Drosophila melanogaster: one gene and its partners. The protein of the gene in region 2 interacts with the protein of the main gene of each other region in a pairwise test. Each region holds a gene or a part of one and is shown on either strand. Other genes may lie near its edges. The genes, in order: KCNQ, OS9 and CG13585.

Region 1 (5,189 bases), on a different chromosome or scaffold from region 2:
CGGCTCCCACGATCAATCTGAAGAGCCTGGTGCTGAACGGCACCTACTTGGACTGGGCCTGCGTGGATACCCTGCTGAAGAATTTGCCCGTGCTCCAGGAACTGCATCTCAGCCTGAACAACTACAGGCAGGTGCTGATCGATGCTGAGGAGGCGGAACAGCGGCTGCAGGAAACGGAAACGCCAGAGGAAACCGAGCGGCGAATCACCAAAGCACATCCTGCTCTAAAGACCCTGCATTTCACCGGTAATCCCGTCGAGCACTGGCAGGAAATCTGCCGGCTGGGCCGGCTGTTTCCCAACCTCGAGGCCCTCGTTCTGGCAGACTGTCCCATCAAATCGCTGCAGGCCGAGGAGAGCAGCGAGACACATAGATACTTCCCCAGCCTGAGGCTTTTGAACCTAAGTTCCGCGCAACTGGATAGCTGGGCGGCCATCGATGAGCTGGCCAAGTTTAGCGAGCTACGCAACCTCCGTGTGAAACACTGGCCCCTCTGGGAAAGTCTGGAGTGCACGGAGCACGAGAGAAGGCAGCTCCTGATAGCCAGGCTGCCCAACGTGGAGATGCTCAACGGAGGCGGCAAGATCAGTAGCGATGAGCGCGTCGACTCGGAGCGAGCTTTTGTCAGATACTATATGGACAAGCCGGAGGAGGAACGGCCTGCGCGCTACCAAGAGCTTCTGCAGATCCACGGCAAGCTGGATCCCTTGGTCAATGTGAGCCTGAAACCAGACAAGCGGGTCAAGGTCCTGTTCACCTACAACGATGTGAGCGAGAGCCGGTTCGTGGACATCTATCTGACCGTCAACGATTTGAAGGTGAAGCTGGAGAAGCTGGTGGGTCTGGCGCCCAACAAGATGCGCCTCTACTATCTGGATCAGGACTACAAGGAATTCGGGCCGGAGGAGATGAGGTACCCCAACAAGCAGTTGTACAGCTACAACATCCAGTCGGGCGACGAGATCATCATCGATGCCAAGAAGTGAGGCGCGACGTATGGGCTACATGCTTCCGTATCTGGAGAGGATTACCATTAACCCGAACCGCCCTTCGTCCCCCGCCTGGTGCTACAACTTGTGATCTTGTACACGAATCATTTACATTTACTTTACTCTACTGTTAGTGCCGTTCTGTTCTCCGCAGCGAACCCCTGTGTACATACGTTCTGAAAATGGCCAAGCGAGCATTACTGCGCACCCACATCGTATATTTTAATTATTACTGCCTAACCTAAGCCACACACAAAATACAAATACAAACCACCACAAAAAAAAACAAAACAAAAACAAAACAAAAAATCAAAAAAACAAGCAAGAATGCATTAAACAATTTTAAAATTTACCCACTCTCCGCGTTTTATGGTGATGGGCAGCACTTTGCGCTGGGGATCGCTGGAAGATAAGATATGACTCATAGAGCGAACTCGAAGCACCCCAACACAGGCACACGTCCACGGATTGGGGATAGTGGGGAGCTTTCGCGATCCCGTTGTCGATAGCTGACTTCAGCACTGCAATTATCTCGCTCGAGGGGAGCTTTGAAAAGTTGCCGGAAAAGAGACCTGAGAACTGGCTCTCCCGCTTCCCACATACAATTAGCTGAACAATAAGTATCTATGATGGTTACACGTCCACTTAACACATTTTTGTTATGGACACTGGTGTTCAAAATAATAGTGATGAAATGTCTAGTAAATAATTCGTCAACGATTTAAATAACTCTAAAATATTTAATATTTTCACAAAATTAAAAAAAAAATTATATTTATGTTAAACATTTTATAATATTTTGAATCTGATATATAGGTATCTTAGATGTAAGTTATAATTCTTATACTAACATTTATGTGATATTCAAATAAAATGCTATGCTCGTACTATTATTTTGATTACAACTACATGATATTCACCATTTAGCGGGTATTTATCACGTTCTGGCCAGTGAAATCACGATTATTTGCTTTGCTTTCATCTAAAGCTGTTTATGAACAGTTAATTTATTGATTTATCAAGAAGGTCAAGATGAGAAGCTTGAATTCTTTTCTTGTTGAGCGTTTCCTTGTTATGTGTCTTGTGAAAGATCTTTTCTTATAGATCAATAATCATGACAAAAGCAGTTTATATAGATTTCCTTATTAAGCGATCATTGTCTCGTAATTCATATATTTGAAAGCTAAAAGTATCTGAACAAAATCTTATCTTCCCTATTTTTAATAAATACTTTTGAGAGAGATGTATCTGATCCTTAAATCTGTTGTTTAGGTGCCGTACTTAATTTTATCCTACCACTGAAACCCTTATAGAATCGAATACCAATATCCAAGTAAAACGCTCCCATTAGCGGCTGGTAGTTTTCCAGCACTCCCCGAATGAATTGCCAAAACTCACCCATATTTGGGTTGTTGGGGTATGGCAAGTGCCAAATGTTAATGACGTAGGATCGATAGGCAGCACGTTGGGCAAAGACAAAGTCGAGAGATCGTGACTAAAGCGAACCTGACCCGCCCACAACGGCGATGGGGAGCCGAAACGAAACCGTCGCTAAAATGCGCGAAATTTTATGGGGCTCTGCTGATGACGAGCTGCAATATACTTGGGTATATGGGGTATTTATTAAAACAAATCAAATAGAGGTCTACGCAGACTTGGGCTGTCGTAAAAATGCAAGGTGTGTGGAACGAAAAAACTGTTTATGTAGATAATTAATAAAATTTACACATGGGGTTTTGAAAGTCTAGTTGTTAAGGAAGGTTTTTTAACCGGCCGTCGCTCGCCCGTCGATCGAGTTGCGGTTCAATCGTCGTTGGAGCCAGACGTGTCCGAAGTGTCAAAAATATTTGCCGAGATTTTCCGAGAACTCAGCGTTGTGGAATGAGATCAGAATGGATCCGGACAACGATATTTATGCCTTCTACGACATAAGGGGGTACAAGGGGTACACTTGAAAAAATAATAGCAACTTAAGTGATTACCACAATGCAGCAAATTCAAATACTAAACTTTCAAACTTCTGGACTTGCAGGAAATGTAGACCGGGCAGGCCGAACTCGGAACGAATCCTGCAACCGCGAATGTCACTCCTAGGAAAGCCGCTGAACTACAACCGCGGCACCCGCCGCGATGTTCGCTACCGGCGCCTCCAGAGTCGCCTCTACAACTTCCTGGAGCGGCCGCGCGGCCTGCACGCCATCTTCTACCATGTGATGGTGTAAGTACACTGCAAAAAACGTTGTTAAAGTGTTCATAATAGCATCTAGTTCAAGCTTCACGTAAGAAAAGTGAATTTCTTTAGAAGCAGTGTTGATTTTATTACACTAAAAATTATTGAATGCCATAAGAGAAAAAAGTATTTATTTACTTTACATTACAATAATTTGTGATTGCTCATTTCCTAAAGATTCCTGATGGTGTTCACCTGCCTGGCGCTCAGTGTGTTTTCCACCATCAAGGAGTACGAAGAGGACGCCGTCTACATTCTGTTCCGCATGGAGATCCTGGTGGTTATCTGGTTCACAATGGAGTTTGGAGCTCGACTCTGGTCATCGGGCTGCCGATCGCGATACCAGGGATGCCTGGGTCGACTGAAGTTCGTGAAGCGACCATTCTGTATTATAGGTAAATAACAAAAAAAAAAAATTAGTTTCACTAACTGAATGATATTTGTGCATTCCAGATATTGTCACCATTTTAGCCTCAATTGTAGTATTAGGAATGGGCACCTCGGGCCAGGTGTTCGCCACGAGTGCTTTACGTGGCCTCCGGTTCTTTCAGATCCTTCGGATGGTGCGCATGGATCGGCGGGGCGGCACCTGGAAGCTGCTCGGCTCGGTTGTATACGCACATAGACAGGTGAGTTTGTTTTCCACGTTTACACCTTGAAAGTATTTGCTCAAGTTCTCTTTGATTAGAGTGCTTAAGAAGATCACTTTCTTATCGTTATCGGGATGACAAGTGCACTTTAATTGCGTAAATAACACATGCTTTAAAGTTAATTAAATGCCTTATCTTTAAAAACGTACACGATTTCCTATCTACATATATATTTTGACTTGCAGGAACTGATCACAACCATGTACATAGGGTTCTTAGGTCTAATCTTTGCATCATTCCTGGTCTATATGTGGGAGAAGGACGTCAATGATAAGTTTAGCAATTTCGCCCAAGCCCTCTGGTGGGGTGTGGTGAGTCCCTTGGATCCCATGACATAATCACAGTGCTAGCCCATCCTTTCGATTCCAGATCACACTCTGCACGGTGGGCTATGGAGACATGGTGCCCATCACCTGGCAGGGCAAGCTAATTGCCTCCTGCTGCGCCCTTCTGGGAATATCCTTTTTCGCTTTGCCAGCTGTAAGTCACTTTTAGATTACGAATAAACATAGCTTTAATAGTGCCACCTATTTTTAATTACTTTTTGATACGAGGGCTAGTGATAAAGACATGTTATCTCACTATTTATGATTGACAATGAAGTGCTGTTATACTATTCTTATCGATCAATCATAGAAGCGCAGCCACAGTTGATCATAAATTCGAATTTCACTTCATACCTTCTTTTTTCCCAGGGCATCCTCGGCAGCGGATTTGCTCTGAAGGTGCAGCAGCAGCAGCGGCAGAAGCACATGATTCGCCGTCGCCAGCCGGCGGCCACTCTCATCCAGGCCGTGTGGAGATGCTATGCGGCCGACGAGCATTCCGTATCGGTGGCTACGTGGAACATCCACCGGGTGGCGCTGCCCAGTCCGCCAGCTTCGTATGTATTGCCTTAATATCGACTGATCCTTTGTGGGGCGGAACATTTGAATGAAACTCAAGTATCTTTTGGGGGTATATTACAGAAGAGAAGTTCAACGAGTACTGTACAGTATCGATAAAACACTTACACAGTCACAAACACATGCACACTGACACAAACACTATTCGCATTGGTGTTTATAACCAAAGAAAAACTTGTTTACGAGCTGGCGAGCTAGAACTTGTGAGAAGCGCGTAGAAAGGCGCTAAATTTTGGAAACTTGTCATGTAGAGCTCAATTGGAAATTGAATGTGTACAGAACAATAACACTGATCAAACTAAAACACTCATAGGTAGAAATAGAGATACTTAGCATATGCAACTATAGCCACCCGACTGTCTTTCTATCCGTCTTTCTTCTGTCCACTCGATTAAATACTTATGTTCTATATAAT
Region 2 (4,520 bases):
ATCCTTGAAGAGATCTAGCGGTGAAGTGGAGGAGGTGACCGACACCTACGAAGAGGAGGACGTTCCACTCCGACCTATCCCCTTCCAACCTCGACCGTTTTATCCTCAGATCCCTCCCCGATCCAACGGTTTCCCCATTCGTGTAAGTGTTTTTATAAGTAGTTACACATAGTATTACAATCCGATTGACGATTGAACTATTTCAGCAACCCAACTATGACAATGCATTCCAAACCGATTACAATGTGGGTCCCAGAGGCAGCGGCTTCGACAACAGACCTTTTCCCAGTTCCCCGGATTTCCGTGGCAGAGGCATTCGACCAATTCCTGACTCCCCATTCCGCAATCAAAACTTAGGAACCTTTGTATCTCGACCGGTAATCTTGTGCAATCGTTTTCCTAACTAAAAAACTAATACACCTTCTCCAGGTACCTATGCCATCCAGTGGTTCCATTATCCCCCTTATCGCCGGTGGTTCCAGTATTCCGACTGGTAGAAGTGGTCCCCTTGGTTCCGGGGGCTCTTCTAACAACTTTTACCGGAGCGAATCCTATAGCTACACATCGGATGGAAGAGGACCTCCCCAAATCGAGCGGGATGTGTTCGACTCGCGGGATGGATTTGGATCATCTTATCGCAACTTTTAACACCTTTCCTAAGAGAAGCTGATGAATGAAAGTTCCGAGTTCTCAAAAACAACTAGTTAAGGCTGCTAGAGATTATACTGACTTGTCTGTGTGTAATGTAAAGATTCTTGGCATTACAAATAATCAGTTATTTTACTTTCCGCACGGTTTATTTATCAGACTAAATAACAATTGTATTGAATAGAAAGTCAGTAAAACTTTCAAAGCTATTGAAACCTGACAGCTTACAAATCTAAAAAAGGTATATTAAGGTATTCAATACCTTTGTAAAATGAATTCCACATTTCTTACGTCATACCTGCACTAAGTAGTAAACACTTACTAGCGTATTTATTATATGCTCATTGATTGTTAAATCAGCTGCAATATGTAATCAAATTTTAGCTTCCGGCGAGCGTGCTAATACAAAACATGAACTCTGGACTACTGGTTTTGATATTTGCAAGGCAGTTTCTGGAAATAATATATACGTTCGGACTATGTATCTGTAGTTATTTGGTTTAAACTTAAATGTACTTGAAACATGATATGTTTATTCAAATGAAATCAGAGTTGGTTAACTTGTCCAGCTTCTCATAGACATCCTTTTCGTTCTTAAAGTCATTAAACTGCTTGACCATCGCCGCGTTCCTGGCCAACCGACTGTCGGACCATGTGCTCATGTATTTCTCCACCTTCTGCTCTACGATTTTCAGAGTAGTTTCCAAGTTTCTTTCCAGGATCTGCTCCAGGTCCTCAACTCCGTGCTGTATGAATAGCTGAACGACAACCTCGTCAGCTTCCGATTCGAATTCTTTGCTGCCTGCAATCGAAATGATGCTTTCCAGTTCCTCAAGAGCATCCTCCAGTCTGTTCAGCTCGAATGAATCATCGAAGTCCAGGGTGTCCAAGGCCGCGACGAAGTCCTTAAGCTCCCTGAGAATGTGTCCCTTGGAGTTTGGTGGTAAAATGAGTTCGGCCTCGTCGATGACCAATTGAAAGACATGTCGTAGCTGTTCCATGGCGTCTGTTACCATTTGAAAGAGTTCATTGGACACTTCGAATTGTAACTGCCATTTGTTAATGAGAGGCGCTGCAAGCTGAAAGTTAAAGGTTTCTGTTGATTCCAAAAGGATATAAGCAAATCTAAGGATCTTACCGAAAGCTGGAGGGCAGCTACAGCGACTAGAAAAGTCCAAGTTAGTCTGCTGGCCATGATTTGAAACTGTATCTAGTCTCTATCGAACTGATTCCTTTTATATTCCCTCTCTTAAATTCACAATTTTTATACAAAATGGGAGAACGCCTCCTCTGTAATGAATACCCACTGATCGTGAGACAACGTATAGACTGTAATCAGACTTCAGAAATCGGTGAGCGTGATAAGAACGAGTGCTGCCCCTTCGTATATTAATTAGTGGGTAGTGGAAACCATGCATTTTGTTATTACAAAGTCGTATATAGTTCCAAGTCACGATAATATCTTTATTGCTTTAAAGTATCAGTTCTCGATATCTACACATGTTGATCAGACAGTCGGAAATTTTCCGGAAGTTAAACGGCATTTTTCAGGAATAAAGTCCTCGTATAAATAGATTCCGAATATTGTTCTTTGAAGTACATTTCTCATTTTATTACAAACACTTTCTAATTCTATGATATTGTTTAAATATTTAGCTATTAATCTTAAGCCTTCGTCCATATACCACTGGCCACCCCCTGCACCAAAGCCTGAGCCAATTTGGTGTAGTCCATTAGCTGGAGCTCAGGAAGTTGGCTCTTCAGGTTCTGGGGAAACTCCAAGAAGGTTGTGATCAGACTGTCCTTGGTTTCGGTGGCCAACTGGGTGACGTTGGAAACCAATTCCGACCTGTCCTGTCGACTGAGTCGCAGATACTTGGTAAGATGCGGCTTGACCTTGGCGAAGAATCTGCGGATGGCGATCTTCTCGCCGGGAAGAACCTCGACGAGCAACTTATCGGGAGTCTTATGGTACATGAGGTCGCTGTTTATCCAGGCGAAGATATAGAATGCAGTGCTGTAATAGTCCTCGTTCCCAGCAACCAGGTCGAGCTCCTCGAAGTACTGCCGATCGATGGTTTCGTTGGCCGGAAGACCCGGTAGTCGTTGGCGGGCATCTTCGATGGTCGTGTAGAGCACCTGATTGAAGAGCCTCTCCACCGCTTGAATTGTATTTCTCACCAAGATGGTAGGGCTGCGTTCTTTCACTTGGGATGAGTCCGCCAGAGCCTGGCAATCGAGAGGAAAATCAATAAGTTCCTTATCTAATCCACTGCCGACTCACCGACTCACCAGACAGATAAGACCCAGAAGCATCGAACAGCAAGTGCTGCCGCCGATAAGAAACCTCGAACTGCGCCCTGATCTCGCCATGCTCCTCTGATCGCTGCTCGATTTAGACTGATCATGTCGGACGGATGCCAAACGGTCTCCCCACCCAAACAATCTCGACTGGCTTAGGTTTTGTTTGTTTTATTAAGCGCAAGTAGAAAATATCTCAAGTACTGTTTATACGAATTTCGTAGAGTGAGCAAATTAATGGCCATTAATGTTCGTTCGTGGTTTTCTATTTAAGCTAGCTAGGAAAAAAAGATGCCGTCTAGTCGAATGTTAGTAGTAATCTGCATACACACGAGTAACATTAACAATTAGATTTGTAAATTACACATCTTAGCATATACTTAGGTTATTAGCAAGCTACTGCATTCTCATATTGATCCGGACTATATGTATATATATATTCATATTCAGCATTTGTAAATTGGCTTGTAACGGGAAGAAAGTCGTCCGGATAATCAAAATATGCTCATTCTTTTGTACACTTACAACATTTTCAATCTGATCTCTAAAGGTTGGTAAAATCGAAAAAGTGTTTTTAAATAAATTTAATTGTAAAGAAAAGAGTCTGGATTACCAAAACATCCTTAATAATTTGTACAATAACCATATTTTCTATATTATCTTTTAAAGTTGTGTAAAATCAAAAAATATCAAGGATCAAGGATCGTTTGGCATGCGATAAACGTCCTTATAACTATTTCATTTTGTATCTCTGCAAAAGTACTTATACATAAGTCTTATTACATTTACGTTCAGAATAATACGCTTTACCCGCGATTGTTGGCAAATGCACTGGCATTTTCAACAATCAGCTTAAAATAATTAAATTAACGTCCAATTGACTTAGGAATGCATACTTTATAGTTGAATACTGAAAATTTTTTGTTTTGAACAATTTTAATCCGCATTTCGAGATAACACACATATGTAGGTACACATTGTAGTAGGACTATCACTGAAACACCAAGTTGCATATTGATATATATTTGATATAAGTTATTTCGCATATATACATAGCTTTTTGTGTTGCAGTTGTCCAGGCATTGTACTGATTTGGCTTTTAAATATATATATATATATATAATATTCTTTATAATTGAGACCTGATAGCAGCCATTGTCGTAGTTCACACCTAAGGAGATTCTAATTCAGTTGCTTATACTAACGCTGATATTTGGATTAAATCTTTACAGTATTTTACGAGTTCTCAAGGTACATCTGACATTCAGGACATTGGGGCCATGCAGACCCCAATAGTCGATAACAAGTTATAAAATAATCGTGACAAAATGCAAAAATAATATGCTTCTATCTTATGCTAGCTAAAGTTCTTAAATACTTATAAATGGCTAGTAATAGTTAGTAAGAAAATATACTCATATATATTTATGATCAATTGTAAATTCTGTTATCTAGAAGACAGTCCATGGAGTAGAGCTTACAACTAGGTCGAATATCAATAGAGAAGTATGTTCTAACATTGTTTTGGTTGTATAGTTTTCAAAAGCATGTCGAAATGCTTTATATATGTA
Region 3 (5,189 bases), on a different chromosome or scaffold from region 2:
AGCCGCCGATGCAAGCACTGACTCGAACCAACCAACTGTGATCTCTGAGGAATCGAGAAATATTGATGCCAAGTTCGTAGATGAAGCGGCGGCAGAAGACAGTGCCAACAAGCCAACTTTTTGCAATGTACAAAGTCTAAAAAATACCTCAGATATTGAGCATTTCAAACACGACTTCTTCGTGGAGCATTCTGCAAAGGAAGAGCATCCGCTGTGTAGCCAGCCATTGGTGAGGACACCCAGAAGGTCGCAGGAGATCCACTCCTCACTATCGCAACTTGCCGGCAAATCACCACTGGACCAGGCCACCAAGAAGTCCGTAATAGCTCGCCGGAACCTCCTGTCACTAAAAAGAAAGCGAAAGATCATTTTGTCAACTGAAACTTCCACTTCCTGCGCCTTACCCACTATGGAGCGATTCGCTCCCAAGCCTTCCTCGACAAGTACTCCGCTGGCCGACAGGGACTTAAATCGCTCCAAGGACTGTACAAAGAATAGACAGGATGCGGAGGACATGTCCCCTATTTGCATGCAACCCAAAAAGAGTCGAAGACTTGGTCTGAGTCGAAGTCGCTATTAGTACACATTAAGTAAGCGTTGCTTTATACCCAAAATATTTAAACCGCTGGCCGATTTGAAATGGGTAGAGATTTAGTTGAATTAATTAAGGTATGCCATTAGTGGTCTCATCATGACAGATTGAATAATTGTATAAGTTATCATAATAAGCGTTTTTTGTTAAGTGCACCTTATAAGGAAATAAACGATCCGATAAGGGCCACCCGCTAACCAACTTCCTTAAAGGTGCCCACTTACGAGTTCCGCGAAAAAAACGAGAAGAGACGAAATCAGTCCCACAGTTCACAAAACAAATGCGAAAAAGTAGTAGTCCAGGTCGAATGCCTTAGCCGGCGGCTCATCATCGCGCATCAAGGTATAGATTCCCTGATGGATGAGCTCCCGGAAAGTGTCCGCCTTCATTTTGATGCTGATCCCGTGCTCCTGCAGGCGCCTCATGAACTCACTGGTCATCGCCAAGTACGGCAGACTGTTGGACACGCAGTAGGATTCGAGGGTAAAACCCACGGCCTGGCGAATCATGTTGAAGCGCGGCGTCTTCAGCAGGTACTGCTGCATCAGGATCAGCTCCAGGCGGTCCTCGTACAATATGTATATGTAGCTCTGATTGAGCCCATCCCGGTACGCCTTTAGCAGGGTGGCGTTCAAGCTCAAGCTGTTCCTGCGGAGCCGTTCGGGCAGGAAGGTTTTCGCCTTCATCTGACTTCTGTAGTACTCGTCGTGCAGACTGGGGTAGGGAGCCCTGGCCAGATCCTCCAGAGTGTTGTACTCCTCGTCGTACAGCCCGGATGTGAGGATGCTGGAGAGCGTGGCCAAGTAGACGTTGGTCAGTATAAAGCCTCCGATCGTTAGAATGCCATGGATGGCCACGTCCCTCCAGCCAGCAACTCTGATTTTCTGGTGGCAGTTGTATAGGATGTGGCTGAGGCTGTACAGCAAGCACTTTCCAATCTCGACTCGTGCTCCTCGCGCAGCCAGATGCAGCATTACGGTTCCGTACAAGACAGTCGAAATCACGACCGCCCAAAGGGTCCAGCCGAAGGGCTTGGAGTAGTACAGATAACTGGAAATCGGACGGGCGTGGGGAGCCATGAAGTACTCGCGGATAATCGAAAGTGGTGCTGTGTAGGCCACTTCCAAGCTGAAATCTTTGAAGTAGCAAACAATGTCGATCTTTTTTGTATGTAGCATTTCAGCAACGGCCAAGTATACATCATATTCCGGCAGATCGGGTATGGGTACACTCTCGATGGTGGCGTTATAGCGATAAGTCAGCTCCTTGACCGCTGTGAACAAATATCCTGCTCGCACCAAGCCACCCTGTTCGTTGGAGTACTCAAAGTCCCGAGGAGCTAATGTGCTTCGAAGTATGCGGACAGGAAAGCCTTGAAAGTTTCGAATTATCCTTGCGCGATCGAAATACTCGGACACATTTGATAGGCTGATCGGTTGAATGCTAGGATACGGTAGGTAGCTGTAGAGGCCCTTTCCGCTCATCAGAATTACATTTACGAATCCCTCCTTGAAGCAGTAGGTGTAGAGGTCCTGTTTCGGAAATCCTGGTTCCTCATTGCTCAGGAACACTATGTGCAGCTCATGGAGCTCGTCCAACAAGCGTGGCAGAAGACTGGCAACCAGTGGATTCAGATCTGAATCCATTACACTTACTATGATAAGGGTACTCTCTGTGAAGTTTCCCCGAATTCTAAGATCTCTAGCTTCCCTCGAGTTGGAGGAGAGTAAAATTCTCGGCGAGTCCAATTTGTGGAGTATCTCTGAGGTGGCGCAGCACTCAAAATCGATGAACACATTGAGCTCCGTTTGGAGAGCCAAATTGAGATCCTGGAGTACTTGGACTTGCATGGATTCCGAGTCAGAAGCCCCGACCAAGCACAGAAGAACTGACACCAGCAGAAAAGAAATCATTTTAATTACCATAAGGCAGCGGGAAAATGCTTTTATAGGCTGCGTAGAATGCCCACATGACAAGGCAAAAATATTTTCAGGTTGCATTTAAAAGGATAATGGATTAATTGCCATCCACCCCATCAAACCAAAGCTCAAGAAGACAAATGTCATATTACTCTTCCATTAACCTAGTGTATATTAGCAAATAACTCAAGTCATTTTAGCTGTTTGAGTTGCAGGATGAAGTAGATTCCAAATCAAACAGTTTTGAATTTCCCGCCCACTGAATGGAAACTTTCAAGCACTGGCAGCTCCACCGATATATGCCTCCAGTTCTGGTCGCTGTCCAGCACTACCATATGTGCACTTTTTATTCCCATTCCAATTCCAGTTGGTAAGAAAAGTGTAATTGTTACGTTGTGGCAGTGAAATTGTATCATAATTCTTTTACCATTCCAAATCGGAGCATATTAGAGTGTTAAGACCCGCAAGGTAACGACACTTAATTGCCAAACGCCCGCAGATGAGTTTGTTTACGCCCCCTTTGTGGCAACAAAAACAAAAGGGGAAAGTTGTGTTTACGTTTTCTAAAGCCAGATACCGTTTTCGGGGTGGTTTTGGTTCAATCGGGGAGTTTCCAACGGAAAGGCCTTGTAATTAAGTGTGATAAGGGCCCTCGCTCTCGCTGGCAATTAAAACTAGACGTCTTGTTTCTTCTGATAATCGTGTTTTTGAGTCAAATACCTACACACCAAGCAATCGGGTTTACGTGTGTGTATACACTAAGTGGGGCGGCATTGGGGTGGACCCTTTGCACAGTTGAATCCCTCTGCTCAACTGGCGTTAGCTGTCAAGTGTGTAAGTTATTTGCTCCCAGCTGCCCCAAAATTGAAGCTGTGCTCTGTGGGACCCAAGTGGCAGAACAACATAGTCCAGACATATAGGTACCAGTACATACGACCGACTCGCTCCGCACTCGCGATTTGAAAGCCCCTTTATCGGAACCATATGAGTATGCATGTATAAAACTCGATTGCGGCCGCAAATAAATTAGTCTCAGTTCGGTTCGTTTTGTTTGGAAACAGTTCTCTCGATCTCCGAACAGACACGTCAGTGTCAGTGGCAGCAGGCAAAATGTAGTATTTGCAATTCCACACTCAGTTTTCCCTATAGTATAACCTACTCCGATCTCCGCAGCGCAACTCAGACTAAGGCTAATCCGAAACCATGTCCGACGACTTCGATGGCTGCGAGTGCGTCTGGTCGCAGGAGTATGCGATGCAACGCCTCATCAACTTCGTAAGTTTCTGTGCGCGCAGCTCCCAGCTCATTTGATCAAGTGTACTTCCTTATAGATACGACAAAACCAGAATGCCTGCGGGGACAACGAGTGTTACGATGGTCAGTATCAATGTCTCACGTCTTTTTTTAAGTATGAAAACATTTAGATTTATAATACATTTTGCACAGCATGAAATCAGTAACAGTCTTTTACTCAAGTGAAGATTGTAACATTCATTTTTCGCATTTGCATTTTTAAAACAATTCAGTATAGACTAGGGTCATACGCGCTTAGTGATAAGTTGCCAAAAAGTATGCAGTGCTTCTACTTGCGGACTATAGTATAAACCATAACTAATCCATCCGTCCTCAGTCACCGGACGCACTCCGCACCAGGCGCAGATCGCCGGACGCGGCGATGACAGCGGCTTCTCCGTCGCCATGATCTTCCTGATCGTGGCCATGTTCATGTACATAGTGAACCCGAGTACCTGGGGCAACTTCACCAGCAACAAGCGAGCTGGCGGCCGACGCGACAATAACCAGGACGGCTCTCCGCCGCAGCCTCCTCCGCCGGCCATCAACTAGGCGACTCCGAGGACCCCTGCTTCTACGAAACCTGAGCATCCACAACACAATTTTCAGACCGCAATTCCTTGTTTTGTTAATTCTCCCACTATTGGGACAGAAACCACGGATAGAACCAAATCAATCGACTTGGTGGCATCCATTCGCACGTTTACACAGAACACAGATTAGGCAAATTATACACCTCTTACATTGTACAAAACACAAAACCGCGCACTCTGAAACACACCGGCTTATCAACTAACATATTTGGACACTTTTTAAAAGACTTTGGAAAACTAACCGCTTTCCTTGTGTATTTCCTTTGTACAAGAGGCTTTAAAATCTTTAAAATGTACATATGGTGGGCGGGAATTGATGTGGTTTGTATTGCCGTCTCCCTGGTCTCGTCAGTTCTCGTTCTGCAGTTTCACCATCTTTTCGCGTACGTTCTTTAGCAGATCCTTCATTTGTTCGTACTTTCCCGTGGAGTCGGGCAGGTTTTCAAAGTTGATCACATCGCTGACGCCCACCTTAAAGTTGCTGCCCACAGGCAGTCTGTCGTAAACGGAGAATTTCAGCAAAGGCGTGCCCTCATAAGACGCCTTAAAGGGAGTCGAGGGTGCTGATCGGGACTGCTCATTATTTCCGGACTCGGCAGCAGATGGACCAACCTCCGTCTCAGACGTGTCATCCAGGTCGGTTGGTGATTTCGATTCATTCGCTGTCGTGTTATGCGACGCATTAACATCCAGCTCTTGGAGGAGCTCCTCCTGCTGGGCCTTCAAATCTTCCAGGCTTGGAGATGGCGAGCGCGCTGTCAGTTCGCCATCTTCGCACTCTTCGGGCGGAGG

The links.
Region 1: the proteins of OS9 (region 2) and KCNQ interact in a two-hybrid assay, tested with the Drosophila melanogaster proteins (one large-scale study listed by BioGRID).
Region 3: the proteins of OS9 (region 2) and CG13585 interact in a two-hybrid assay, tested with the Drosophila melanogaster proteins (one large-scale study listed by BioGRID).

The regions. Positions count from the first base shown.
Region 1 is NT_033778.4:10,152,467-10,157,655, reverse strand, and holds the start of KCNQ (KCNQ potassium channel), read left to right. Parts: upstream 1-2,778; 5' UTR 2,779-2,881; coding exon 2,882-2,934; intron 2,935-3,021; coding exon 3,022-3,207; intron 3,208-3,310; exon of another isoform or gene 3,311-3,396; coding exon 3,397-3,614; intron 3,615-3,672; coding exon 3,673-3,848; exon of another isoform or gene 3,849-4,054; coding exon 4,055-4,180; exon of another isoform or gene 4,181-4,238; coding exon 4,239-4,349; exon of another isoform or gene 4,350-4,357; intron 4,358-4,549; exon of another isoform or gene 4,550-4,564; coding exon 4,565-4,752; exon of another isoform or gene 4,753-4,780; intron 4,781-4,882; exon of another isoform or gene 4,883-4,939; intron 4,940-5,189. Other genes in the region: mlt (mulet), read left to right, coding at 1-986.
Region 2 is NT_033779.5:19,964,634-19,969,153, forward strand, and holds OS9 (Olfactory-specific 9), read right to left. Parts: upstream 1,878-4,520; 5' UTR 1,844-1,877; coding exon 1,787-1,843; intron 1,728-1,786; coding exon 1,185-1,727; 3' UTR 1,031-1,184; downstream 1-1,030. Other genes in the region: CG10680 (uncharacterized protein), read left to right, coding at 11-142, 207-377, 430-648; Hf (helical factor), read right to left, coding at 2,314-2,877, 2,941-3,021.
Region 3 is NT_033778.4:24,528,756-24,533,944, forward strand, and holds CG13585 (uncharacterized protein), read left to right. Parts: upstream 1-2,838; 5' UTR 2,839-2,881; intron 2,882-2,889; exon of another isoform or gene 2,890-2,979; intron 2,980-3,356; exon of another isoform or gene 3,357-3,623; intron 3,624-3,684; 5' UTR 3,685-3,714; coding exon 3,715-3,786; intron 3,787-3,842; coding exon 3,843-3,888; intron 3,889-4,141; coding exon 4,142-4,356; 3' UTR 4,357-4,636; downstream 4,637-5,189. Other genes in the region: Brca2 (BRCA2, DNA repair associated), read left to right, coding at 1-580; CG4622 (uncharacterized protein), read right to left, coding at 4,746-5,189.